Linked DNA regions of Oryctolagus cuniculus. The protein of the gene in region 2 interacts with the protein of the main gene of each other region in a pairwise test. Links are inferred from orthologs where the notes say so. Each region holds a gene or a part of one and is shown on either strand. Other genes may lie near its edges.

Region 1 (3,500 bases), on a different chromosome or scaffold from region 2:
TAGGAAAATTGGCCCAAACTAAGTAGATACTTTCCAGAACTCATGGATCAAATCTGCACAAGAAAGCTAAGTCATTTTAACAGCTCCCCCATGTGATTCTGATGTCATTCCTAAGTAAACATCTAGGATGCCTATAGCGAGAACATTTATCAATCCATAAATAATATCTTACCGAAGACATGTGGCAAATGCACGCCTAGCATTCCTGTACACAAAATGTATTGGGAACCCTTTAAATGTGTGACCATCAGGTACAGCCCTCCTTATGGCATCTTGAAATTCTTCATTGCCTGCAGATATACTTGTTGTACGCTCAAATTCATAAGAAGCCAAAGCTGGTGATAAAAGATAGGAAAGCTGGTCTTCCCAAACAGTGGTAAGGCCAAGATCCTACAGCAATCAAGAGAAAAAGAAAATGGGAAATATATTAATATTTTCAAAAACAAATCAAAATGTAAATTATATTTTAGCATATGCCAAGAAACGATTTTTGGAAGTTGTCATAATTTTTAAAAATATTTATTTATTTACTTGAGAGGCAGAGTTACAGAGAGAGGGAGAGACAGAGAGGGAGGTCTTCCATCCACTGGTTCACTTCCTAAATGGCAGCAATGGCCAGAGCTTTGCCAATCCAAAGTCAGGAGCTTCTTCCAGGTTTCCCACATGGGTGCAGGGCCCCAAGCACTTGGGCCATCTTCTATTGCTTTCCCAGGCTATATATAGCAGAGAGCTGGATTGGAAGAGTAGCCAAGACTCAAATTGGCGTCCTTATGGGATGCTGGCATCGCAGGCAGAGGTTTAGCCACAGCGCCCACCCCAAGTTGTTATAATTATTTTAAAGATTTATTTACTTATTTGAAAGGCAGAGTTACAGAGAGATAAAGAGGCAGAGGTAGAGAGAGAGAGAGGTCTTCCATCTGCTGGTTCACTCCCCAGATGGTCAAAATGGCTGGAGCTGAGCCGATCTGAAGCCAGGAGCCAGGAGCTTCTTTTGGGTATCCCACACGGGTGCAAGGGTCCAAGGACTTGGGCCATCTTCTATTGCTTTCCCAGGCCATAGCAGAGAGCTGGATCGGAAGAGGAGCAGCTAGGACTAGAACCAATATTGCAGGTGGTGGCTTTACCTGCTACACCACAGCACTTGTCCCTCATAATTTTTAAACTATTAATTATGATAGGGATGCACAGAAATAAAAGTAAAGGGAACTATAAATTTCCAGATTTCACTTCTCAGAAACATAATCAAAAAACATTCAATATAGTGATGTGACATGAAAGGTTCATTTCCTGTATAGTATGGAGGCAGCCATTGTGGCACCATAGGTTAAGCTGCTACTTGGTACGCCAGCATCCCATATCTGAGTGTCTGGTTCTGAGTCTTTGCAACTGTGCACTTCTGATTCAGCTGCATGCTAATGAACCCTGGGAGGCAGCAATGAAGGATTAAGTACTTGGGTTCCTGCCACCCACAGGGGAGACTTAACCTCCAGCTGTGGAAGGCAGCTGGGGTATAAACCAGCATATGGAAAATCTCTCTCACTATCTCACTCTCTTCTCTCTCTGCCACTGTCTTTCCAATAAACAAATCAATCTAAAAAAAAAAAAAAAAAAAAAAAAACCCACATGAAAGACAGTGTCAGTGAATTTTTAGATCACTTTTTTTTTAATTTTCAAGAGTTAGTAAAATTGAATCTGCTTAATTTGCTCCTACCATAAACTGAACTATAGGAGAGAAAAGTCAAATTAACTGCACATATAATTAAACTCAAATATTTATTGAGCATTTACTCTGTAAGACAATGGCAGGGCCAATGCTGGGGCGTAGTGGGCTAAGCCTCAACCTGCAGTGCTGGCATCCCATAAGGATGCCAGTTCGAGCCCCAGCTGTTCCTCTTCCGATCCAGCTCTCTGCTAGGGCCTGGGAAAGCAGTGGAAGATGGCCCAAGTGCTTGGGCCCCTGCACCCACGTGGGAGACCTGAAAGAACCTCCTAGTTCTTGGTTTCAGATTGGCTCAGCTATGGCCGTTGTGGCCATTTGGGGAGTGAACCAGCAGATGGAAGACTTCTCTCTCTCTCTCTGTAACTCACTCTCTCTCAAATAAATAATAAAGTGATCACTGTTAAATATAAGAGTGGAAATAAGAGAGGGAAGAGATGTGCAATTCGGGACATGCTCAAGCTGACTTACCCCAAACAGTAGAGTTGGAAACATACCAGGGGATTCCAATTCAATCCCATCAAGGTGGCATGTACCAATGCCATCTCACTAGTCCCAGTGATCAATTTCTGTTCACAACTGATCATAATGATAGGACTAAGAGCCAAAGGGATCACATAAACAAGACTAGTGTCTGCAAATACTAGCTGATAGAATAAAAAAGGGAGAGAACGATCCAACATGGGAAGCGAGATACACAACAGACCCATAGAATGGCAGATGTCCTAAACAGCACTCTGGCCTCAGAATCAGCCCTTAAGGCATGTGGATCTGGCTGAAAAGCCCATGAGACTATTTCAGGCACGGAAAGCCAAGACACTCTGGCAAAAAAAAAAAAAAAAAAAAAATCTCCATGAGTGAGATCCCAGTGGAAAGAACAGGTCATCAAAGAAGGAGGTACCTTTCTCTGAAGGGAGGAGAGAACTTCCACTTTGACTATGACCTTGTCTAAATATGAACAGAATCGGTGAACTCAAAAGGCTTCCATAGCCTTGGCAACTCATGACAAGAGCCTAGGGTGATTACTGATGCCATAAACAAGAGTGTCAATTTGTTAAGTCAACATCAAGAGTCACTCTGCACTTACTCCTCATGTAGGATCTCTGTCCTTAATGTGCTGTACATTGTGATTTAATGCTATAGCTAGTACTCAAACAGTATTTTTCACTTTGTGTTTCTATGTGGGTGCAAACTGTTGAAATCTTTACTTAATATATGCTAAACTGGGCCGGCGCCGCGGCTCACTAGGCTAATCCTCTGCCTAGCGGCGCCGGCACACCGGGTTCTAGTCCCGGTTGGGGCGCCGGATTCTGTCCCGGTTGCCCCTCTTCCAGGCCAGCTCTCTGCTGTGGCCCGGGAGTGCAGTGGAGGATGGCCCAAGTGCTTGGGCCCTGCACCCCATGGGAGACCAGGAAAAGCACCTGGCTCCTGGCTCCTGCCACCGGATCAGCGCGGTGCGCTGGCTGCAGCGCGCCGGCCGCGACGGCCATTGGAGGGTAAACCAACGGCAAAGGAAAACCTTTCTCTCTCTCTCTCTCTCTCACTGTCCACTCTGCCTGTCAAAAAAAAAAAAAAAAAAAAAAAGCTAAACTGATCTTCTGTACATAAAGAGAATTGAAAATGAATCTTGATGTGAATGGAAGTGGAGAGGAAGAGGGAAAGGAGAGGGTTGCAGGTGGGAGGGAAGTTATGGGAGGGGGAGCCACTGTAATCCATAAGATGTACTTTGGAAATTTATATTCATTAAATAAAAGTTAAAAAAAAAAGAGTACAACTCAAAATG
Region 2 (2,734 bases):
CCCCGGCCTGCGCCCCCTCCCTCCGGGCCCTTGCCCCGCCCCGGCCTGCGCCACCCCCCCCGCCCGGGCCTGAGCCGCTGCTCTCCGCAGGCTCGCTCCTGTGCTCCCTGCCTGGCCCCACCGAGGCCTCGGCACTTTCCCAGGTGCTGAACACTGCCTCCGGGCCTCCCCCGAGACCACCCTCACCGGCGGCTTCTTCGTTGCTGTCTTCGAAAGGGTGCAAGTACCCAGGTGAGGGCGTGGGTAGGGGATGGGGCCTGCCGGGAGGATGCTGGATGGGGTGGGGGGCACACGTAACTTGGGGCCGTTTCTTCTAGCTCAGCCTCCCAGGCCACAGCGTCGCCCCCGGAACCACTCAGCCCAGGCCCCAAGAGGAAGAAGAGACGGCGGAAAGCGGCAGGTGACCCCTGCGCCGCACCGGGGCCGTAGCAGCGGCTGTGCTGTCCCCCAGCGGCTGGACCCGGTGGCTGTCCCCGGGAAAGAAAAGGCAGGACAGGGCCTGAGATCGATCACAGTTTTTTATTCTTAATGACATAAGCAAGGAGAAAAATCTCACATTCATACTAAAAATTCCAACTAGACTCAACAGGAATTACATCCGTGTGTCCGTAACGGGAAGCCCCTGCCGGCGCACGCCATCCACTCACCCTCTCACTCACTCGGGCCCTGCAGGGGCCCCTGGCCGCTGGCCTGCCTGTGCAGGTGCAGCTGAGGTAAAGTGGCCGGGCGCGACACCTGCAGGCGGGGTGGGGGGGGGGTCACGCCTACATCACATTGTTCCTAAAACAGCCCCAGGAGCGGCCCGGGCCACGCACAGGCAGAACTCACTACGCTACTCCTAGTCAGCATTTACACTTAACCACCTCAGTGAACCAAGCTTGAAGGAATTTAAAAGGCAATTTAGCTTAAATACAAAAATAAATTTTTATTTTGTTAAAAAATGTTTAAATATTTTTTTAATTTAGACACACGCATTCACACTTCTCCCAAAGAGGCTGGGCTGGCAGCAAGGCGCCTGGGCCTGGGGGAGGGGCGGTGTTGGGGCACCTGTGTGGGAAGAGCGGCCAGGTCACCTTGGGTCGTGGGCCATCACGTCAGGTCTCCTGACGCGGACGGGGGTGCCTGCCTCCATGGAGGGCTCTGCTTCCCCCGGCCCATCCTCGTGGGCTGCCAGCCCTTAGAGTGAGAACACCACTGGAGAATTCAGGAGTCAGCACGCGTGGCCGTGAAGCGGTGTTACCGCCACGTTCAATTAGCGAGGCCCCAGGACAGTCGGGAAACAAGTCCGGCACTACCAACATGCCGCCACTCATACGATTTGATTCTTCCTCCAAACTCGGTTCAAAGAGCGATAGACACGCGCATCGGACTAGTGACACAGGACAAGGCTTAGAACGTACAATCCCCGAGAGGCAGACACAGCCCGGAGGTGGGCGCGGCGTCTCCCCCCCGATCTGCCAGGCTAACAGTCTTCAGCCGCCGAGCTCTTAGGGGGAGACGAAAACACTGAGTGACCTGGCAGGAGGGGACGGGGCAGCGGGAGCGGCACCCTCTGGGGGCTCCAAGGCAAAGCTAGATTCAAGGTCATTCAAGAGGGAAAATCCTGCGAGGAACAGAGCAGCGAGAAACAGGGAGAGAGGGTCCCCTCGGGGGCCCGCGGGGGAGCCACTTCCTCCAGCCCAGCCAGGCAAGGTCAAGCTTCAGGCAGCCCGCTCCCAGTCCCGTCCAGTGTGCACGGGGCTCCCGGGGGAGGCGGGAGGCAGGGGCTCACCAGGGCGACTGTTCAAGTCAAGGGCCAGCCCCCGCCGCTGCCCCTCCCTGCTGGCGGCCGAGGCCGGAGGTCTGGGAGAAGTTTACTCAATCAACTCCAAGGGTCAGAGGCTCTTCCTGGCAGGCAGAGTCCGGGCCTGGGTGCCGGGTGGGACGGGGGTGGGGTGGGGGGGAGGTGGGAGACAGGCAGGAGACCGAGGCTACTTCTTGCGAGTGTGCTGCCTTCGGGCCTGCAGTCGCTGTCGGGCCCCTGGGGTTTTAGATCCCGCACCAATGGAGAAGGAAGGGGCCGCCGACCCTGGAAAGAGTCAATGACATATCAGGATGGCCGGTGCCCGGGTTCCTCACCTCCAGCGCGCAGGCAGGGGTGGGGCGCCCATCGCGAGAGCCTGGAAGCCAAGCCCACTGCTGCTTACCGAAAGCTCCCACGCCGACGAAGCCCTGGGTGGGCGTGGAGGACGCCCCGAAGGACAGGCTGCTGCCCGACGCGCCCACTCCGGGGGCAGAGGCGTTCTGACCAAAGGTGGGCGTGGAGGTGCCTAGAAGCAGATGGCAGAGCACTGTGGAGCCGCGGGGGCAGCGGGCACCGCCCCGGCTTCCTCAGAGTTCTGTGCAGCTGCAGAGTGGGGTCGGTCCCTGTCCCCTCGGCTGCCACCGCACAGCACAGCACTCAGCAGGTCCCAGCTTCCACCAGGACTAATCCTCGTTAGCATCCCCACAAAACCCACCGCTGTGGCCCACGGCTGTCCTCACGGTACCTGCCCTCTCCAAGGCAGGCCAGGCTTTCTGGTGCTCACGACTCAGGGCCCAAGGTGTGTGTGGGGGCGTCTGCCTGCTCCCCAATGCTGTTTCCACCCCCCCCATCCTCATCAGCTCCGTGTCCTTGCCGGTTCACCTGGTAACCGCCACGCGGTTCCCTGTCCTCATCTGTCACCAGTGTTGATGGCCTTACTGTGTGGTCTCT
Region 3 (4,285 bases), on a different chromosome or scaffold from region 2:
ATCCTCCAGTGAACAGAAAGCAGGACACAGACCATGATTTTGCAGCTCCAAACAAGATCTACTTTCCACTATCTGCATCTGGTTGACCACAAGACACCTGGGATTTGGTGCCGGCCCTGCCCCACGCTGGGACCTTCAAAAAAGCATTTGGTATGTGCCTCATTCTCTTCATCTGCATGACGAAGGGGTTGAATCGAATATTCTAACACCTGAAGAGACCAAGGATCCACCAAACAGCATTTCCAGTTTTAAGCCTTTAACTCAAATAATTGTTTTCAAACACCTAAAGAAATTCTCTCTATGGATTTAGAACCACAAGTCAGTATTTTGAGAATCATTATTTTGCCCACAGAACTCAAAGCTCTATTGAAATCGTGTACATACTTGAAAATGTTTTGAGATATTATGATGTGAACTATTTTACAAAGGCATGTGATGAGGCTTGCATCTTTTAGTTACTTTTGTGTTCAACACTGGGAAGGGCAGGTGTCTGCTTAAGCAATCACTTGAGACACCCACTTTCCATATCAGAGCTCCTGAGTTCAAGTCCTGGCTCCGGCTCCTGACTCCAGCTTTCTGCTTGGAGGCAGCAGGTCTTGGCACAAGTACTCAGGCCCCTGGCACCCATGAGGGAGACTTTGATTGAGTTCTATCTCCTATCTCCCACCTGGCCCAGACTGGGCTGTTGTGGAAGTGAACCAACAGATGGAAGATATCCCTCTGTGTCTATCTCACTGCTGAGTAAGAAATAAAAAGAACATCTCCATCCTAAACTTTTAAGTTAAGTTCTAGTCTTAAAATCCTCAAGTAACCAAACAATCTCAAGTGAAAAAAAAAAAGTCATAGGCCTCAGTTTCTAGGTCTGAAAAATGGGGTAAATGGCTTCACGTAGACCTAGCAGGAGCACCTGCCACTGAAGAAATGAGAAAGAACACCTTCGAGGGGAGTTGCTATTGTACCCAATGGCAAGGCAAGTACACCAAGCTCATACTGTTAAGTTGCCTCTTGTCAATTACTTCCTTAGCTTTGAAATATTATACAAGCACTTGATTTATATTTTTTTACAGACCTGTGGTTAATGTACCTTTACTTTTTGCCAAGAAATGAGAAGGCCATCATGAAAATAATTTGTAACATAATAGAAGATCACAGGTTCTAGGATTACAAGGGTTGGGATTGTGAATCATTTCAGGGATGTTTTCTGCTAAATAAGGGCAATATGCCCAAGGGGAATGTAAAAAAAAAAAAAATCTACAAACTACACACCCCATCCAATCACGTAAAGACAAATCAGCCTTCAGGCAAATCAAAGGTCTTCCACTAAGCTTACCTGGCTTTGGCACTCTGCCCACCCTTCTCAAGCCTCTTAGCAATATACTTTCACAAACAGTTAAAACATGCATAGTAAAAAAGGACTCTTTTTGCAACGATATTTTTTCAAGCAGGGAGCTCTTTTACTCAGAGAAGACCATGGTTCGGACAAAGGAAGGTCCATTTCCGAGTTAGTCCCGTGCAAACACAGGATTAGTGGGTGGGAGAGAGGTGTGCGCAGATGCATAAATAGAGGCTTGCGCTGCTGGCACAGGCAGAAGCTTGGACTGCGTCCTGAGCGTCTCGCACAAGGCAGGTGGGAGGGGAAATCCAGGTAAGGATTCTGACAACAGCTCGGGAAGGGCACCTGCTAGAGGGAGCTTTGGGCTCCTATTGCTCTGTAAAGTTGCGTGCAGTCAACAGAGAAGTGCAAGTGTCCGAGGGTGGTGAAGTGGGATTTGGAGAGGGGATCGTGCGATTTCCAGAGGCTTCCTGGGGCCTGTCTTTGGTAGAACTGGCAGAGTGTTGCACTCCTGAGTTTCCTCTGTAGGAAACAAAAGTTGAAAGAGTGGGTGAATGCTAGGGATTCTCAAGCCTGGGTTAAGGACCGGAGATTTCTATCTTGGTTACAATCTACAACTCTGCTTCTCTCGCACTGGCTGATGCAAAGGAACCTCAGGTAGGATGCCCCAGTGGCAACACAAGGGGACTGCGAAACACTGGTGCAAAATGGAATTCAGAGATAAATTTCTTTTGGTGCACAACAAGTTGAAATCCACATATAGCTTTTCCGTAATATGCATTTTCATGAACTTTCTTAAGATCTCCTCATATGCATGGATTTAAAAAACTTTCTGCAGCAACATAAACCAATTTTTTAATTCCATTTTTCATAAACATTGAGAAGTACCCTAGCATATTACTGCCATAAGTAACTACTTCCTCTCTGTGTCTGTTTTAAAGATACAGTAGTTGCTTCTTCAATCTTTAAATACACGGAATAGACTGTCAGAGGAGAGAGTCAGGGTTGCTTTCCTAACAGGAACACAGGCATTGAAAACTCCTGCAAATGTCTCTCTTGTGAAAGATAAGGTGAGGCTATAGTGATCAGTAAAACTGCTGGTTTCACTGTGTGTGTGTGTGTCTCCAAATTATCCATCTCTTCCATGGTTAGCCTTGGGTTTTAAAGTGGTTTATCCAGGAAATTGGTAGACCAGAGTCTGTTCACGCTAGGAAAAGAGTGAATCTCAGAAAGTCATCCAGAGCAGGATGTTTGTACAGCAGAAGTTCCATTAGTCTTTCTGAGTCATCCTATCATAAAATGCATGTAATACATCAATAGCTCCAACCTCTAACCTATGGAGCTATTACGAGGGGTCCTAATAGCCACTTGTACAACAAGACTTGACAGTGGACTAATAAAACACCTCATCAGCCATTTAGTGTCAGTTTTTAAAATACACATAGATGTCATCTTAATATACAAAACCCAATGTTTGTGGATAAATTCAAAGTAGTTATTTGTCATGATATACTTAGTTGGTTCAAACATCTAATTAGCCTCACATAAAAGTTCTTGATTATTTTTAACATCAAAAATAAGCCTTCACACTAAGAGAGCAGTACACTTGAGTTGCTTCTGTAGAACTGAATTCTAGAAGACAAAAATTATTACTGACATTTCCGCATCCCTATAGGCTTAGAACATTCAGAAATTCTATCTCTGCTCTTTGCTTATGTCTTTTCTGATTAAGGTGTTTTGTGGCTACATACTGTGGCGTGAAGAATAACTGGGGTTCATAACTTGGAAACGCCTTTCAATTTTGCTAATGCTAAGCAAAGTTTTCCATTCAAGCCAACAGATCATGAGACGCACTCTCTCTTAAAAACACAGAGCAATGACAGCTCATCCTACTTCCTCTGCAGAGTTTGTTGACTTCTCTCTAAACCTACACCAATATTAGCGCTAGATGCGATAATTTTGTATTGACTTTTAAGCAATTTTAGTGTCTGGCTTTCTGAGAAATGCAAAGCTCCAGCTTCCCATGTTATGGCCTCTAGCCAACCTTAGCATCTTGCTCAAGAGACTCACTTTGCTTGCCTCCCTGCCTCTTCACTCACTCGGGGAACTCATCTGACCATTCACCGTCCATTCATAGGCGTCTACCCCAGCTTCTCCCAAGCAGTAGCTGTGGAACACCAGGAAGGAAGGAAGAATGTAACAGAGAGACATCCATGGGGTCTACTTCACTACATTATGAATCTCATAGGATATTTGTGTGCCTTAAAGGGCATGCCACATCACCTGCCAGTAAAGGCCCTCAAGGAAAGTCCAAGAACTGCTTCACTTGAAGGAAGCGGCATTGTAGTCAATTCAAAGCTAAGATGGAGTTTGAACAAATGCTACACTTGGGAGACAATTGTGTTCATGCAAGTGGTAGGGCAAGTGACAAGGCTGGCAGGTTCTAAGTGAAATAAGGCATCATTTTATTCATAGTGCGTTCTTCAGTGGCAATGTCTCCATGTTAACAGGAGGTTAAGGAAGTATGCGTAGTAAGGGTAATTATTTCATGGAGGGAAGACCCAGAAGCCTTTGTTCTAGATCCATCTCCTAAACCTTCTCATCTCTCTGAACTTCAGATTCTTCATCTTATACCATGAGGCACTGGGGAGGTGGAAAAGGAGGAGGTAACCCCACAAGTACCTTCCTGTGCTGTAATTTGTGACATTTACATGGAAATTTCTTTAGCTGTAAGAGTATATATAGCTAATTACCTATTTTCTTATATCTAATATATCTAACTTATCTATTTCTGGGTAACTATATATCCATTCAGAGATCTACATCTTTGTATCTAGAGCTATGTGGATCTATATCTATTGATAGATGGGTGGGTAGGCAGATAGATACATAGGTAGGTAGATAGGTAGTTGGTAGATGAGGAGGTAGATAGGTTGGTTAATAGGTGGATAG
Region 4 (2,215 bases), on a different chromosome or scaffold from region 2:
CTCTCCCTGCTTCTCTTTGGGGACTGATGCTCATGGTTGCTGTGCGGGACCCTCGGGCTGTCTCCGTGCACCAGCCAAGGGACACGGAGAGAGTCTTCCATCCGCTGGTTCTCTCCCACACGGCTGCGGCAGCCCGACAGAGCCGGGCCAGGCTAAAGCCAGGAGCCAGGAGCTCCATCCGGGTCTCTCGCGCAGGTGCAGGGGCCGCAGCACTTGGGCCATCCTCCTCTGCTCTCCCAGGCGCATGCGCCGGGAGCTGGCTGGGACCCAGCGCTCTGACGTGGGGGGAGGGGCGCAGGGGTCCCACGCGGTGGCCTCCGTCCGTCCTGTCCGTCCTGTCCGCGCCCTGCTCCGGCCGGGAAGATGGGGTCCCCGGCTTCCTCCCAGAGCCTGGCCCGCCACCAGACGCAGGTCTTTGATTTCTGGGAGTCACACAGGGGTCAAAGGTCATCTGCCCCTCCCCCAAGAGCGGTCCACGGTTTGGGGGCTGCTTGTGCTAAAGATCATTACTCCCCAGGGGGCTGTTCATGGTCCCGGGGTTTTTTTGCACAAACACCTGGCTGTGTGCTTGTTACTATTTTCTCTTAAAAATTATTTTTCTACTAAGGATTTTTTACGCAGCCTACCCTTCCTGGAACACAGGTATTGCTTGCATTAGGTTGGAGTTCAGTGTGGATTCTTAGTACCGGAAAACAAGAACCGGACAGCTGCCTTCTTACTGAGTGCAGATGCGGCTCGGAGCACCCCCCCGCCCGCTGCACCCCCAGACCCCCACTCTCTGTTATGAAGGGCGGGGGCCCCTGCCCGCGGCGCCGGCATCCCCCATGGTCGCAGGTTCGAGTCCCGGCCGCTCCACTTCCGATCCAGCTCTCTGCTGTGGCCTGGGAAGGCAGTGGACGATGGCCCAAGGACTTGGGCCCCACGTGGGGGTCCTGGTGCAGCCGTGGCTGTGGTGGGCATTTGGGGAGCGAACCAGTGGATGGAAGACCCCTCTCTCTCTCTCTCCCCCCTTCCCAGCGCTCCCACCGTGGCTGGGGGTATTAATGCCACCTCCGTGAACTCCCCACCCGCCCACTCTGCTCGTGGGGACATCATTCTCCAAGCCTGCCCCCCCTGCTTCCTGTTTGTGGGCTCAGGGGGTGCGCAGCCCCCTCCCACAGCGGCAGAGCCGTGGGGGTGGGGGTGATGTGCTGTGGAGGGGGGCGCTGGGGGTCCCGCTGACGCCTGCCCCTCCCCTCCTCCCTCCAGTTTGCTGAGAAGTTCCAGGAAGTGAAGGAAGCGGCCAGGCTGGCTCGGGAGAAGTCCCAGGACGGCGGGACCGAGCTCACGAGCCCGGCGCTGGGTCTGGTCTCCCACCAGGTCAGCCGGGCACCCGACCGCACTGGGCTCGAACACAACCCAGAGCTGTGGGGGGCGTGGTCACCAGCCCCGGTGCCCAGCTGGGGTCTGCACCTGCAGGGTCGGGTGAAAGGGGAAGCCGGCAGGGTGGGGGGCCCAGGGAGCCACGGAAATCAGTCGAGGAAGGGAGGGGAGGGCCTGCCCGGTGACACCCGCTTGGACACGTCCCTGATGGACGCCGCCGCCCACCCGCAGGTGCCTCCCAGCCCGCTGGTCAGCGCCAATGGCCCCGGCGAGGAGAAGCTGTTCCGCAGCCAGAGCGCCGACGCCCCCGGCCCCACCGAGCGGGAGCGGCTCAAGAAGATGCTGTCCGAGGGGTGAGGGGCGGCGGGGAGGAGGGGGCGGCGCCTGGCAGGCGGGGCCGGCCCCGCCCCTCACCTTGGAGGGGATCGCTGGCCCTGCCCCTCCCACGCCGCCCCCAGACTCAGGGAACCCAGCGACACCGCCTCGCGCCCTACCCTGGCTACGCCCACCAGTGCCCGCCCCCAAACCAGGCCCCGCCCCTCCACAGCGCTGTAGTGCCGCGCGCCCGCCCTTAGCCAGCTCACTACGGCGTGCCCGCCCCAGCAGGCCCCGCCCACAGTACCGCCCCCTAACCAGGCCACGCCCCCAGCTCGCTCCGTACTGCAGCGCGCCCGCCCCCACCCAGGCCACGCCCATTAGCCCGCGCGCGCTCCCGCTCGCCCGCCCTCGGCCCCGCCCCGCCCCGCCCCCTGCCGACCCTGGCGTCTCCGCAGCTCGGTGGGCGAGGTGCAGTGGGAGGCCGAGTTCTTCGCGCTGCAGGACAGCAACAACAAGCTGGCCGGCGCCCTGCGAG
Region 5 (4,035 bases), about 7.6 Mb from region 2:
AACATTTCTCCAGGGTGGCCTGTTGGAAGGACGGGGAGCCGGGAGCTAAACAACCCAACGGGCGCCCCCACAGCCCGCCTGGCTGTTTCTACAGCGCCCTGCGTGTGAGTGAGAGGTGGACCTGCGTAGATCCGAGTCTGGCTTCGGCTTTTCTGAGCGTCAGTGTCCTGTAAACCGGGCACCGGTAGTAAAACTCCTGCCTGGCTGGGGTTGGAATTTAACCCTGTTCCCTTAGGAGGCCACCTGGGACGCCCACAACCCGGATCAGAGTGACTGGGGTGGAGTCCTGGCTCCACTGCCCGCCAGCATCCTGCCCGTGGCCATGCTGGGAGGCAGCAGATGATGGCTCAAGGACTTGGGTCCCTTCCACCCACGGGAGAGACCTGGATTGAGTTCCAGGCTCCTGGCTTTGGTGCAGCCCAGCCCCAACTGTCACAGGCAACTGGAGAGTGAACCAGCAGATGAAGCTGGGCTCTCTCTCCGCCTTACAAATCAATTAATAATAATAATGGTGATGATAGATAAAATGTCTCCTACTCCTACAGGACGGTGCTCCTTCCTTCCCACAATGCCTCTCTTCTTGTCCATCAGTCTGAGTGCCCCAGCTTCGAGCCCTGTTCCTTTGCTGGGCTCAGACATCCGGCCCCCACCTTGCAGGAAGGCCCCTGCCTGCCGCTGCCAGTGCCCAGACCCCAGTGTCCCCAGCCCCAGGGGCTCACCACGTAGCAGCTCTCACAGTACGCCCTCCTCTCCACGGCATAGAAATGCTGGCCCCGGAGCTGCGCCCGGCACGTGGAACACACAAAGCAGCCCACGTGGAAGACACGGTCCAGGGCCACGACCCCGGCGCCATCCCCGACCACGTCTTCTCCACAGCCGCCACATCGGCCTGGGGACAGGAAAGGACGGGGTCACCCCGCACAGACCCTGGCCAGACGCGCCACCCTCCCGTCCCCTGCCCGCGGCACCCGCTCACCAAAGTACTCCCCGCTGGGCGGGTGGTTCAGGTCCTGCACTAGCTTCTTGGTCAGTCTCTCCAGCTCCTCCTCCGGAGGCTGGCTCAGGGGGACCTGGGGGCGGGAATCAGGGGTTCCCACCCAGGGGGTCCAACCCAGGAGGCTCCTCCCCTGAGAGCTTCTCGGACCCCTCCCCTCTGCAATTCCCCAGCTGCTCCACGCCCCAGGCCTGCGGCTCTGCTCCCACCCACCCATCATCTAGGAAGGTCCTGAACTCCAGGACCCCTGGCTCACCTGCGGCCCGTGCCCGCCTCCTCTGGGTCCTCCTGCAGAGCCAGACACCCCGACAGTCTCCTCTTTCCCCCCCGGCCCAGGCCCACGGTGGCTCCGATAGCCACCCCCCCAGATGTCCCCTCGGCCTGGAAGAGGAAAGTGGGGGCCGGGAAGGGGTCCAGAGGCCTGCGAGGCTCCCCGCCGGGGCGGGCCGCAGCCTCTCACTGGTTGTGCCACCTTCACTTGCACCGGGAAGGCCGGGCCGGCTGGGGTGCTGGCGGTAGCGTAGGAGGCCGGTGTGGGGCCCCCATAGGGGGATGCTGGTGGCGGAGGGGCTGGGGCACCCCCTCCGTTGGGCTTCAGGCAGCCTGCGCGGTAAGCAGGGGGCTGAGGGGCCTCGTAAGCCTAGGGAGAAACACGGGGAGCAGTGAGCAAAGCCCACCCAGGTCTCCCCGCCAGTGGCTGATGAACACAGAGGGGAGCTGGGGGCCCTGGGGAGGGGGGGACTGGCACTGAAGACCCACAGAGGGCAGCAGGCCAGGCGTGGGGGCAGTCACCTGCCGCTCCGGCCTGCGGGGAGCGTGTCCACGGCCCCCATCCAGCTCGGCCAGCATGCTGGTCAGCGAGTCCATCTCAGCATCCAGACTGCCGGGGCGCAGGCCCCCCCTGTCTGGGGGGAGCCCCTGGGGAAGGAGCCAAAGCAGGGAGGAGGCAAGTCACCACGGCGCCCCTCCAGCCAGCCCCCCACCCTGCTCACAACATCGCACCTCCTCCCACTGCCGTCCTCACCTGGGAGCGCTGGGGTGCTCCGTGGGACCCCACCCAGGCTGGCCCCCGGTCATCGCGTCCCCCGGGGGGCTGGTAACACTGCTCAGATGGGAGGGGGCAAAAATTGACCCTGGGGTGGGGCTGGAGTGCTGGGGTGGGGGGAAGAGAGACCAGAGGTGGGGACCAGGGAGGAGAGAAGGGGGCTCCCTCCTGGACGCTGCCCTCCCGGCCCCTCCGCTCCTCCTCAGGGGGCCGTAGGCGGCCACAGGCGGCTGGCCCCCGGCTGGCAGGGGAAGGGGTAGCAGGGAGCAGGCTGGGAGCGGGCAGAGGTGAGTCTGGGCAGCCGGTGGCTCGCGGGCGCAGAAGGGGCTGCTTACCTGTTCCGTGGGTGGGTGGCAGCCCAGGGGCACCTCGAGGGAGTGCTCTCCCCTGAGGGGCTCTGGTGGGCTCCGACTGCTTTGGGGGGAGCCAGGTGGGCCCCGACATGGTCTGGAACGGGGTGAGGAGACCCCAGACAGCAGGCAGGGCCTCTCGGAGCCCAGGGCCTCTGACTTCGGCCCCCTCTTCCGTCCTACACCTCGTTTGGGACTCCAGGAAAGAAACTTTTTCTGGCTTTTTTTTTTCCCCTTCCTCCCTAATTTTGGGGACGGCCACGCCCCCTGTGACGTCACCGCATTCCTGGGGGAGGGTCACGTGGCCCCCTAGGCCCTAATCTGCGGTCCCTCCCCCAGTCGGCCCCCTCCTGCCGAGAGGGGAGGGCTCTCGCTGGGAGCCGAGTCACGGGGGTCTGCGGGCGGCTCGGGGTGGGAGGCGCAGGCCCGGGCCGGCCCGCCCGAGCCTGCACGTGGCAGCCTCGCTGCGGCCCTGGAAGCTCCCGGTCTCCACCCCTGCTACCACCCGACCTCTTCCCACCACCTCCCTCTCACCTACCCGCCAGCAGTGTCAGGCCAGCCCGTAGTGTTTTGGTCTTTTATTCACGGTCAGCAGTTAGAAAAATAAAACACAGGGAACGTCCCCACCCCAGGCTGAGGTAGCCTAGGGTCGCAGAGGAGACCAGCCCCTCCCGTCAAGGCACCAGTGGAGGAGAGGCGGGCAGGCGGGCGGGCGGGGGTACCCGTGCCCTGGGTCCCCTCCCATAGGAGGCGGGTCAGCCCGAGCCCAGGACACCTAGCATCTGCACCTGGGGGTCGGGGCGGGGGGGGCTCCAGGTCCCAAGGGCAGGGCCGGAGGGAGGTGGCCCCTCCCTCTTCATCGTCCAGGAATCCGGATGAGCTGGGGCCTGGCCTCAGAGGTCAGTGCAGGTGACAGGGGTGAGGCCGTGGACGAGCAACGTGGGGCCCAAGTCGCGGCTCAGGGTCTCCAGCAGCGCCAGGTAGCGGGGGTAGCGGGTGGGGTCGGCAGGCGGCCTTGGCAGGTACAGGAAGGTGAGGGCCGTGGTGGGCCCCTCCTGGCCATCCCTGGCCTCAGGGCCCCCGGGGCCCCCGCCTGTGCCGCGCCCCTGCTGGGCCCGCACCAGGGCGTTGGCGCTGCTCGCCAGGGCCTCGGCCTCCGCCTCTCCCCGCCCGCCGTTGACGAAGTCCCCTTCTTCCTCTTCCTCTTGCTCCCGGGGCCCGGCGCCCTCGCCCCACACCACCTCGCGCACCTCGGCCCGGATCCGCAGTTGGCTCAGCAGGGCCCGGAGCCGCCCCTCGGCCGCCCCGGGCGCCTCGCCCGGCCCCAAGCACAGGAAGATGCGGAGCCGCGCGCTGTGCCAGGCGGGCACCATGCCCAGGATGGTTGCCATCTGCAGCAGGAAGAGGCCACAGACGTCCACGTAGCCGGGCCCACCCCGGGGCCGCAGCAGGTTGAGGGGCCACACGTCCACGTGGTGGGGCGCCGAGGGGCCCCGGGAGCCGCCGCTCAGCCGCTCCGGGGGCAGCGCCCCGCAGGCCCGGGCCAGAACCACGTTCTTGTTCATTTTGAGGGCGTCCGCCATGGTGGCCACGTAGTCCTGGGGGCTGAGCGCACGGGGGCTCCCGGGAGCCCGTGGCGGAGGGAA
Region 6 (3,500 bases), on a different chromosome or scaffold from region 2:
CCCAAGAACTCGGGCTGTCTTCCACTGCTTTCCCAGGCCACAGCAGAGAGTTGGATCAGAAGTGTAGCAGCTGGGACACGAACTGGGGTCCATATGGGATGCCGGTACCATAGGTAGAGGCCTAGCCTACTACGCCATAGTAGTGGTCTCATCGGTCTTTTTTTGCTATTGCATTTTCTAAAAATTATTTCAAAATATTGCCTATATAAAAGATAGACATGTGCAGACTTCTGTAGAAAACAAAAGTCTGTGTAGATCTTTCCCGAACTCAGTGATGCTTGATCGTCCAGTTTGTTCCCTTTTTTCTTCAGCTTTGCCATCTTGTCTAGTGTAAATTCTTGATTTGGGAGTATTTCATCTTAGAATTAGCAGAGTATTTGAAATTTTCCTGTCTTCCTGCCCTTGAGTTTAGGAGCCCTGGTTGAGAAATGTGGTGTTCCATAGGCTCATTTTTTTCTTTTCTCAGTCTCTTGCTTTCTAATCAACTTGTTGGGAGAAGTTGGTATTCATTTAGTTAAGGTTAGTTATTTACACTTTGCAGATCACATGAACTTCGTCAGATCTTGCTGGTGTTGAAAGTGGTATAGGTCAGATGTAGCCACTTAGCAGGTGACAGGTCAGAGGCACAGGGTGTGTGTTTTCTCTAGGATCACACAACCACATGGTGTTAGAGCCAAATCCAGAACTTTGGTGGTTCTTCTCCCCTCAAGCCATTGCTATTTGAAAGTTCCTGAATTTTCTGCATAGTTCCTACCGGTCAGCTGACTCCAGTGTGGTTTTGTTTTTTTTTTTTTTTTAATTTATTTATTTATTTTTATTTATTTATTATTTTTTTTGACAGGCAGAGTGGACAGTGAGAGAGACAGAGAGAAAGGTCCTCCCTTTGCCGTTGGTTCACCCTCCAATGGCCGCCGCGGCCGGCGCGCTGCGCTGATCCGATGGCAGGAGCCAGGTACTTATCCTGGTCTCCCATGGGGTGCAGGGCCCAAGCACCTGGGCCATCCTCCACTGCACTCCCGGGCCACAGCAGAGAGCTGGCCTGGAAGAGGGGCAACCGGGACAGAATCCGGTGCCCCAACCAGGACTAGAACCCGGTGTGCCGGCGCCGCTAGGCGGAGGATTAGCCTAGTGAGCCACGGCGCCGGCCGGTTTTTTTTTTTTTTTTTTTTTTTAAAAGATCGATTTATTTATTTGAAAGGCAGAGTGACAGAAAGTGGTGGGGGGAGGAGAGTGTGCTTCCATATGCTGATTCACTTCCCAGATGGCTGTCATGGCTGGTGGTAGGCCAGCCAAAGCCAGGATTCCATCCAGGTCTCCCTCGTTGGTGGCAGGGGTACTTGGGTACTTGTCTCCCTGGTGCGTTAGCAGGAAGCTGGATCAGAAGCAGAGCAGCCTGGACTCAAACTGGCACTCTGATAGGAGATGCCAGCATCACAAGTGGTGGCTTAATTCACTGTGCCACACTGCTAGCCCCCAGCATGCTTCTCTGTTACGCAGAGTCTACTACCTGGCATAGGTGTTCTGCGATTCCACCACCATGATTGTTCGAGTGGTTTTCCTTTCAGACAAGCAAGCAGCTGGCAGCAGCATTCCAGGAAGAGTTTACAGTGCGAGAGGACCTGATGGGACTGGCAATTGGGACTCATGGGGCCAATATCCAGCAGGCCCGAAAAGTACCTGGAGTGACCGCCATTGAGTTGGGTGAAGAAACCTGCACTTTCCGCATCTATGGGGAGGTCAGCAAAAGATCTGTCTTCAAGATCCTGTAGTGGGTAGAGGGAAGGGAGTGGGAAATAAGCCTAAGCTATGTGACTTTGCTGAACTTGGCAGCATATCTTCCCAAAGACAGGAAGATCGTTATTTGAGATCCAGGTCCTGTTTTAGTGACGCCACTTCATTCTTCCCCTAGACGCCAGAGGCATGCCGACAGGCTCGGAGCTACCTGGAGTTTTCTGAAGATTCAGTGCAAGTGCCCAGGAACCTGGTTGGTGAGTTGGGTGTGTGTGTATAAAAGAGAGTAGTTAGGGGCCAGTTGTGAGTCTCCTTAAATGACTCTGGGCTTGTAGTGGGTATTGGTAACTCTTGATTTCACAAGGACAGAAAGTCTGTAGTCGGAATAAAAAAAAAAAAAAAAGGAAGAATAAATTTCTAGGGATAAAATTTTTTACTTTCATTTTAGTAGAAAGGTAATTACATTTTTTCTTTTTGTTTTAATTTGACAATTAGAGATATAGACAGAAAGGTCTTCCTTCTGTTGGTTCACTCCCCAAATGGCCGCTATGGCCAGCGCTGCGCCGATCTGAAGCTAGGAGCCAGGTGCTTCCTCCTGGTCTCCCATGCGGGTGCAGGGCCCAAGGACTTGGGCCATCCTCCACTGCCTTCCTGGGCCACAGCAGAGAGCTGGACTGGAAGAGGGGCAACCAAGACTAGAACCCAGCGATCATATGGGATGCCAGTACCGCAGGTGGAGGATTAGCCTAGTGAGCCATGGCACCGGCCCCAAAAGGCATTACATTTTCCATCCACTAGTTCACTCTCCAAATGTCTGTAACAGCTAGGGCAAGGTCAGGCCGAAGCCTGGAGCCCAGAACTCCATCTGGGGTCTCCCTCATGGGTGGCAGGCAGGGACCCAAGTATGCATGAGCCATCATCTGCTGCCTCCCAGGGTGTGCACTAGCAGGGACCTGGATTGGAAACTGAGTAGCTGGGACTCGAACTAGGAGCCCCAGTAGGGAACATGGGCATCCCAGCAGCAGTTTACTGTTGGGTCAGACATCCGTCCTTTCTGTAAAACCTAACCAACAACTTAGAAGCAGGAGAATTAACGAAATGCAATCTGTACAGAGAGAGAAGGATGAGGCTGGGAGGCTGTTTTGACCTTACCTTTAAAAAAAAAAAAAAGGCCTAATTCCTCCTTTACCCATTTAGGCAAAGTGATCGGAAAGAATGGGAAAGTGATCCAGGAGATCGTGGATAAGTCTGGTGTGGTGAGGGTGCGAGTGGAAGGTGACAATGACAAGAAGAACCCCAGGGAGGAGGTATGGGCCAACTAGGACTAGAGGTTGGTTTCCACAAGTAGGTGGGCTTGTTCTCTGAGGGCTAAGACTTTGGGGGCAGGGAGGATGCACAGAAATTCTGTAGCCGCTCTAGTAACTTTAGAGCTAGACTGATGCCATTGGGTGGGTTCCCCTGGCGACTGGATGGGGCTAGCACGTGGCGTTCTACTATTCTTCCTGATCAGCTTTCCTTCCCTCTGCTCTCAGGGGATGGTTCCCTTCATATTTGTTGGCACTCGAGAAAATATCAGCAATGCCCAGGCCCTGCTGGAGTATCACCTCTCCTACCTGCAGGTACACGAGTCTGAAACCTGGGGAGGGAAGGGCTGGGCAGAGCAGGGGCCAAGACTGCTGCCAGATAAAGTCCGCAGCTGTGGCGTGCGGCTCGTTCCTCTGTAGAGTGGGAATGGGAGGTGGAAATGTGGGGCTGTGGGACGGGTCACA
Region 7 (4,208 bases), on a different chromosome or scaffold from region 2:
TAAAACAAGTACACTACAAAAAATATTTACTGACTTGTGCAGCCAGTGCGCAGTGACTTTGACCCTGGAACCGAGGCCTCCTGCCTGCATCACTGTGCGACCTTGCCTTGATAAACCCGTGTGTGCGGTTCCTAAGCCTGCAGACACTGCAGTCTCTACTGGGAAGTTCTCACTCTAACATGTGACCATTACTACTGAGGGGTTTATTTCTTGATTTTACTTTTTTGCCCTCATATTTTGTCCTAGTGACCCTATCCCCTATGTTCCATATGGGGGGAACAGGTGGAGATCCGAGGAGAGGCAAGGGTTGCTTTGTACCTGATCAGTAAGGCGAAGGTGATTGCCACAACCTCCAGAAACCTCTGCAGAGGCCCCTGGAGCTCATGCTCAAAGCCGATCAAAGCCGATTTGATTACCTGCACCAATTCCAGAAGTAGTTGAATTCAGCCCAGTCTGCCGCTTCGGGGGCCGGAGCATAACCTCTCTAAAGCCAGGGGATTCTCTCAAGAGTGGCACTGCAGGAATGGCTCCAGCTACTGCCCTCTCCCAGAGCACACGGGGGAGCCGCCTGGAACCTCCCGCGGGGGGCCTGGCAGTTACTCTTGGCCATCTTTCAGGCCCAATCCTGGGTAAGACACTAACTGCCACCCATTGGTCAGGCTCCTCCCAATGCTGAAAAATTGCTCAGCTGGGCACTCAGAAATAGGCTCAGGATCCATTTCCTGCAGCACAGACCATGAACTTCGTTACTGCAAGGTTACCTGCAACCCCTCCCACCAAGACGAACTCCTTGCTTAACAAAAAGCAAACCCTTGAGGCCCCACTGAGCGCTGACCCCTCGCAGGGCGAGATCTGTCCCTCCCCCAGCCGACAGGCCTGTTAGTCCCCAGGACGGGACTTGGTTTAAAACCCAGCTTCTCCCCGAGGGGGTCGGGACGCCAGGAGCGCTTGCACCCTACAGGGCCGGGAATCTGCGGGAACCCAGGGGCCGCCCGCGAACTGCACCCAACTCTGGGGAAGACAAACCCCCACGGCCAGCCACCGTTTCCACTCTTGCGCTTCCGCAAGATCCGAGAAAACGGAAAGGACCGGCTGGGCGGCAAACCCCAAAGAGGAACGGCCCGGCAGGTCTGTGTCCTCGGGATCCCTGCAGCAGACGACCCCGAGTGCAATCGGCCGTGGGAAACCCCAGGGAGAGAGGAGGGCCCTGCAGGGTCGGCCTGGCCGCGCGCGGTCCGCAGGGAAGCACCGGGGCGGCGGCGGCCGCCGGGCCCGGAGGACTTTCCAGCCACTCAGCGCGCAGCGAGAAGTTCCCTGGACATGACCCCGGTGGGTCATCCCAGGGAGTTTCTCCGATGAACCCCGGCTCGGAGTTTAGGCTGCCTTTTTTTTTCCCCTAGCAGAGGACCAAGCCAGTTCTCTTTTCTGGTCTGACTGGCTTGGAAATTCCCCGCGCCTGACCCCGCCCCCAGAGAAATTCCCCGCCAGCGTTTATAGGGCGGCGCGGCGGCGCTGCCGAGCCCACAACAGTCGCAGCGCGCCGCCCGCCAGGAGCCGGCGACAGGACGAGGACGCCAGCGCGCAGCCCGCGGCCGAGCACCTGGGGAGCAGCGCCATGTTTCAGCCGGCCGAGCACGCTCAGGACTGGGCCATGGAGGGGCCCCGGGACGCGCTGAAGAAGGAGCGCCTGCTGGACGACCGCCACGACAGCGGCCTGGACTCCATGAAGGACGAGGAGTACGAGCAGATGGTGAAGGAGCTGCGCGAGATCCGCCTGGAGCCGCAGGAGGCGCCGCGCGCCGCCGAGCCCTGGAGGCAGCAGCTCACGGAGGACGGAGACTCGTAAGTGTCGGGGGGCTGAGGGCCGCGGGCCGGGCGGGGGGCGGCCGGGCCTGCAGCGCGGGCCCCGGGGCTGCAGCACAGCCGGGCTGGAGGGGGGGGATGGCCGTGCAGCGCCGCCGAGTCTGCCGCAAAGCTGCGGGGCGGCCGCGCGCGGGCCGGGGCTCCTCTGGGGGCTCCTCGGGCCGGCGGGGAAGGGCGTGGACGGCCCCGTCCCCGCACACCCCGAACCCCGCAGCCCGGCGCTCGCGGCGGGGGGCGGCGCGGCGGCAGGGACGCCGAGTCCCGGGTTGCATAAGGCGGGCGGGCGGGCGGGCGCCGCGCGGCCGGCGGGGGAAGTACAGGGCGTTCCGGGCCGCCGGGAGGGCGGGGCGGCCTGGCCGGCGCCGCCGCGGGGGGGGCGGGGCCCGGAAAGTCCCTGGGCGCCTGCCAGGAACACTCAGCTCATAATAACCCCGCGGAAAACACCGCGGCCCCGGCTCCAGAAACCCCGGCCTTGCGCAATCCCCCGCAGGCCGCGCCTCCCCGGGGCCCCACGCAGTGCGCTCACCGCCCCTTGCGGGGGGTTTTCCCCTCTCTGGCCTGCAGGTTCCTCCACTTGGCCATCATCCATGAAGAGAAGGCATTGACCATGGAAGTGATTCGCCAGGTGAAGGGAGACCTGGCCTTCCTCAACTTCCAGAACAACCTGCAGCAGGTGCGCCTGTCGTCCCCAGCCCTGTGCCCTCTGTGACCTCGGGATGCAGTCGATGTGGCACAGTCCTCCCCACCCCTAGCTCTCTGAAAGAACAGCCACAGGTCCTTACCTGCCCTGGCCTTTCACATTCCAATAAGCCGGTCTCCTGCAGAGTTAAAAGCCCACGGATTGGGTGAGGTCTTTGCGACCCACCCGGGGCCCTGGTCTTTGGCCCCCTGTCCCTGTCTGGGAGGAGCAGCACCCACCCCCGGGAGATGTCTGCGGCTCAGGGGCACTCGGAGGACGACTTTGCGCCGAGGCTTATCTGTGCTCGCTCTCCCACTCGTAGACGCCGCTCCACTTGGCTGTCATCACTAGCCAGCCAGAAATTGCTGAGGCACTGCTGGAAGCTGGCTGTGATCCTGAGCTGCGGGACTTTCGAGGAAACACTCCGCTGCACCTTGCCTGCGAGCAGGGCTGCCTGGCCAGCGTGGGCGTCCTCAAGCAGACCTGCACGGCCCAGCACCTGCACTCCATTCTGCAGGCCATCAACTACAACGGTACGCTGTGCTGTCCCAGGCGGGCGGCGCGGGGGAGGCGGGCTGGCCTAAGGCGTGCAGGGCAGAGCTTAAACTCCCAGCTTGTGAAAGCAGGAGGAAATGAGTATCAAGCGCCTGTCTCAGGCTGCTGGAATGTTCATTCAGAACCCAGATTCGGGCTCCTTAGAATTCAGGGGCCACATGTGCTTGTCCCATGAGTGACTAGGGGGACGGTGAAACAGGTGGTGATGCTCTCTTCCTTCTGTCCGTCTAGGCCACACGTGTCTGCACCTGGCTTCCATCCACGGCTACCTGGGCATTGTGGAGCTGTTGGTGTCCTGGGGTGCTGATGTCAACGCCCAGGTGAGTGCCTCACGAGCCAGGTGGAGTGCTGCTCTTTGCCAGCAACATGTCAGCCACACTGGCTGCACGCAGGAATGCCAGACGCCTCCTAAGCATCTCACACTCCTCTTGGCTCTAGGAACCCTGCAATGGGCGCACGGCCCTCCACCTCGCCGTGGACCTGCAGAATCCGGACCTGGTGTCGCTCTTGTTGAAGTGCGGGGCCGATGTCAACCGGGTCACCTACCAGGGCTACTCCCCGTACCAACTCACATGGGGCCGCCCCAGCACCCGGATCCAGCAGCAGCTGGGCCAGCTGACCTTGGAGAACCTCCAGAGGTTGCCCGAGAGTGAGGACGAGGAGAGCTGTGACACGGAGTCGGACGGCACGGAGGACGAGGTGAGCCCCATCCCCTACCCTGCCAGGCCCCTTCCCTTGAGCAGCCCTGGGATATTGGATAGAGCTCTCCGACTGTATAGAACCCCCCCCCCCCAATAAAAATAAAAGTAGCTTACCCTTCTTTAAGCAGCAAATCCTTCAAGGGAAATGCACTCAGCCTGTCAAGTTCATTGCACGGCGGGTGGGGGGATCGGAGCTGCAGTCGCAGCCAGGGCCCTGGCCTGCGGCCTGCAGCCCCGGGCTGGGCCTTGGAGGTTTACTCTCCTCTTCTTCTTCCAGCTGCCCTATGATGACTGCGTGTTCGGAGGCCAGCGCCTGACCTTGTGAGCACCAGGCGCCTGGAAAGCACGTGGACTTGTATATTTGTACAAAAAGAGAGTTTTATTTTTCTAAAAAAAAAAAAAGGAAAAAG

The links.
Region 1: the proteins of POM121 (region 2) and CEP76 interact in binary tests that used the Homo sapiens proteins (3 or more experiments, as listed by UniProt). The two-hybrid records come from large-scale screens. The link is inferred for Oryctolagus cuniculus from reciprocal best matches to the Homo sapiens genes POM121 and CEP76.
Region 3: the proteins of POM121 (region 2) and AGR2 interact in binary tests that used the Homo sapiens proteins (3 or more experiments, as listed by UniProt). The two-hybrid records come from large-scale screens. The link is inferred for Oryctolagus cuniculus from reciprocal best matches to the Homo sapiens genes POM121 and AGR2.
Region 4: the proteins of POM121 (region 2) and HOMER3 interact in binary tests that used the Homo sapiens proteins (3 or more experiments, as listed by UniProt). The two-hybrid records come from large-scale screens. The link is inferred for Oryctolagus cuniculus from reciprocal best matches to the Homo sapiens genes POM121 and HOMER3.
Region 5: the proteins of POM121 (region 2) and TRIP6 interact in binary tests that used the Homo sapiens proteins (3 or more experiments, as listed by UniProt). The two-hybrid records come from large-scale screens. The link is inferred for Oryctolagus cuniculus from reciprocal best matches to the Homo sapiens genes POM121 and TRIP6.
Region 6: the proteins of POM121 (region 2) and FXR2 interact in binary tests that used the Homo sapiens proteins (3 or more experiments, as listed by UniProt). The two-hybrid records come from large-scale screens. The link is inferred for Oryctolagus cuniculus from reciprocal best matches to the Homo sapiens genes POM121 and FXR2.
Region 7: the proteins of POM121 (region 2) and NFKBIA interact in binary tests that used the Homo sapiens proteins (3 or more experiments, as listed by UniProt). The two-hybrid records come from large-scale screens. The link is inferred for Oryctolagus cuniculus from reciprocal best matches to the Homo sapiens genes POM121 and NFKBIA.

What each region holds. Positions count from the first base shown.
Region 1 is NC_091441.1:69,537,029-69,540,528, forward strand, and holds part of CEP76 (centrosomal protein of 76 kDa), read right to left. Parts: intron 391-3,500; coding exon 173-390; intron 1-172. UniProt on the Homo sapiens protein: Centrosomal protein involved in regulation of centriole duplication. Required to limit centriole duplication to once per cell cycle by preventing centriole reduplication.
Region 2 is NC_091450.1:50,656,969-50,659,702, forward strand, and holds the end of POM121 (nuclear envelope pore membrane protein POM 121), read right to left. Parts: intron 2,310-2,734; coding exon 2,187-2,309; intron 2,069-2,186; coding exon 1,971-2,068; 3' UTR 501-1,970; downstream 1-500. Other genes in the region: NSUN5 (28S rRNA (cytosine-C(5))-methyltransferase), read left to right, coding at 91-231, 318-429. UniProt on the Homo sapiens protein: Essential component of the nuclear pore complex (NPC). The repeat-containing domain may be involved in anchoring components of the pore complex to the pore membrane. When overexpressed in cells induces the formation of cytoplasmic annulate lamellae (AL).
Region 3 is NC_091447.1:8,432,188-8,436,472, reverse strand, and holds the start of AGR2 (anterior gradient protein 2 homolog), read left to right. Parts: upstream 1-1,485; 5' UTR 1,486-1,645; intron 1,646-4,285. UniProt on the Homo sapiens protein: Required for MUC2 post-transcriptional synthesis and secretion. May play a role in the production of mucus by intestinal cells. Proto-oncogene that may play a role in cell migration, cell differentiation and cell growth. Promotes cell adhesion.
Region 4 is NC_091447.1:65,893,257-65,895,471, reverse strand, and holds part of HOMER3 (homer protein homolog 3), read left to right. Parts: intron 1-1,248; coding exon 1,249-1,359; intron 1,360-1,593; coding exon 1,594-1,715; intron 1,716-2,135; coding exon 2,136-2,215. UniProt on the Homo sapiens protein: Postsynaptic density scaffolding protein. Binds and cross-links cytoplasmic regions of GRM1, GRM5, ITPR1, DNM3, RYR1, RYR2, SHANK1 and SHANK3.
Region 5 is NC_091450.1:43,009,056-43,013,090, reverse strand, and holds the start of TRIP6 (thyroid receptor-interacting protein 6), read right to left. Parts: upstream 2,801-4,035; 5' UTR 2,484-2,800; coding exon 2,375-2,483; intron 2,147-2,374; coding exon 2,019-2,146; intron 1,913-2,018; coding exon 1,787-1,912; intron 1,635-1,786; coding exon 1,251-1,634; intron 1,071-1,250; coding exon 977-1,070; intron 890-976; coding exon 720-889; intron 20-719; coding exon 1-19. Other genes in the region: SLC12A9 (solute carrier family 12 member 9), read right to left, coding at 3,283-4,035. UniProt on the Homo sapiens protein: Relays signals from the cell surface to the nucleus to weaken adherens junction and promote actin cytoskeleton reorganization and cell invasiveness. Involved in lysophosphatidic acid-induced cell adhesion and migration.
Region 6 is NC_091448.1:52,159,767-52,163,266, reverse strand, and holds part of FXR2 (RNA-binding protein FXR2), read left to right. Parts: intron 1-1,565; coding exon 1,566-1,736; intron 1,737-1,909; coding exon 1,910-1,988; intron 1,989-2,928; coding exon 2,929-3,038; intron 3,039-3,263; coding exon 3,264-3,350; intron 3,351-3,500. UniProt on the Homo sapiens protein: mRNA-binding protein that acts as a regulator of mRNAs translation and/or stability, and which is required for adult hippocampal neurogenesis. Specifically binds to AU-rich elements (AREs) in the 3'-UTR of target mRNAs.
Region 7 is NC_091443.1:40,158,302-40,162,509, forward strand, and holds the start of NFKBIA (NF-kappa-B inhibitor alpha), read left to right. Parts: upstream 1-1,408; 5' UTR 1,409-1,615; coding exon 1,616-1,842; intron 1,843-2,427; coding exon 2,428-2,536; intron 2,537-2,864; coding exon 2,865-3,075; intron 3,076-3,328; coding exon 3,329-3,417; intron 3,418-3,535; coding exon 3,536-3,796; intron 3,797-3,912; exon of another isoform or gene 3,913-4,075; coding exon 4,076-4,123; 3' UTR 4,124-4,208. UniProt on the Homo sapiens protein: Inhibits the activity of dimeric NF-kappa-B/REL complexes by trapping REL (RELA/p65 and NFKB1/p50) dimers in the cytoplasm by masking their nuclear localization signals.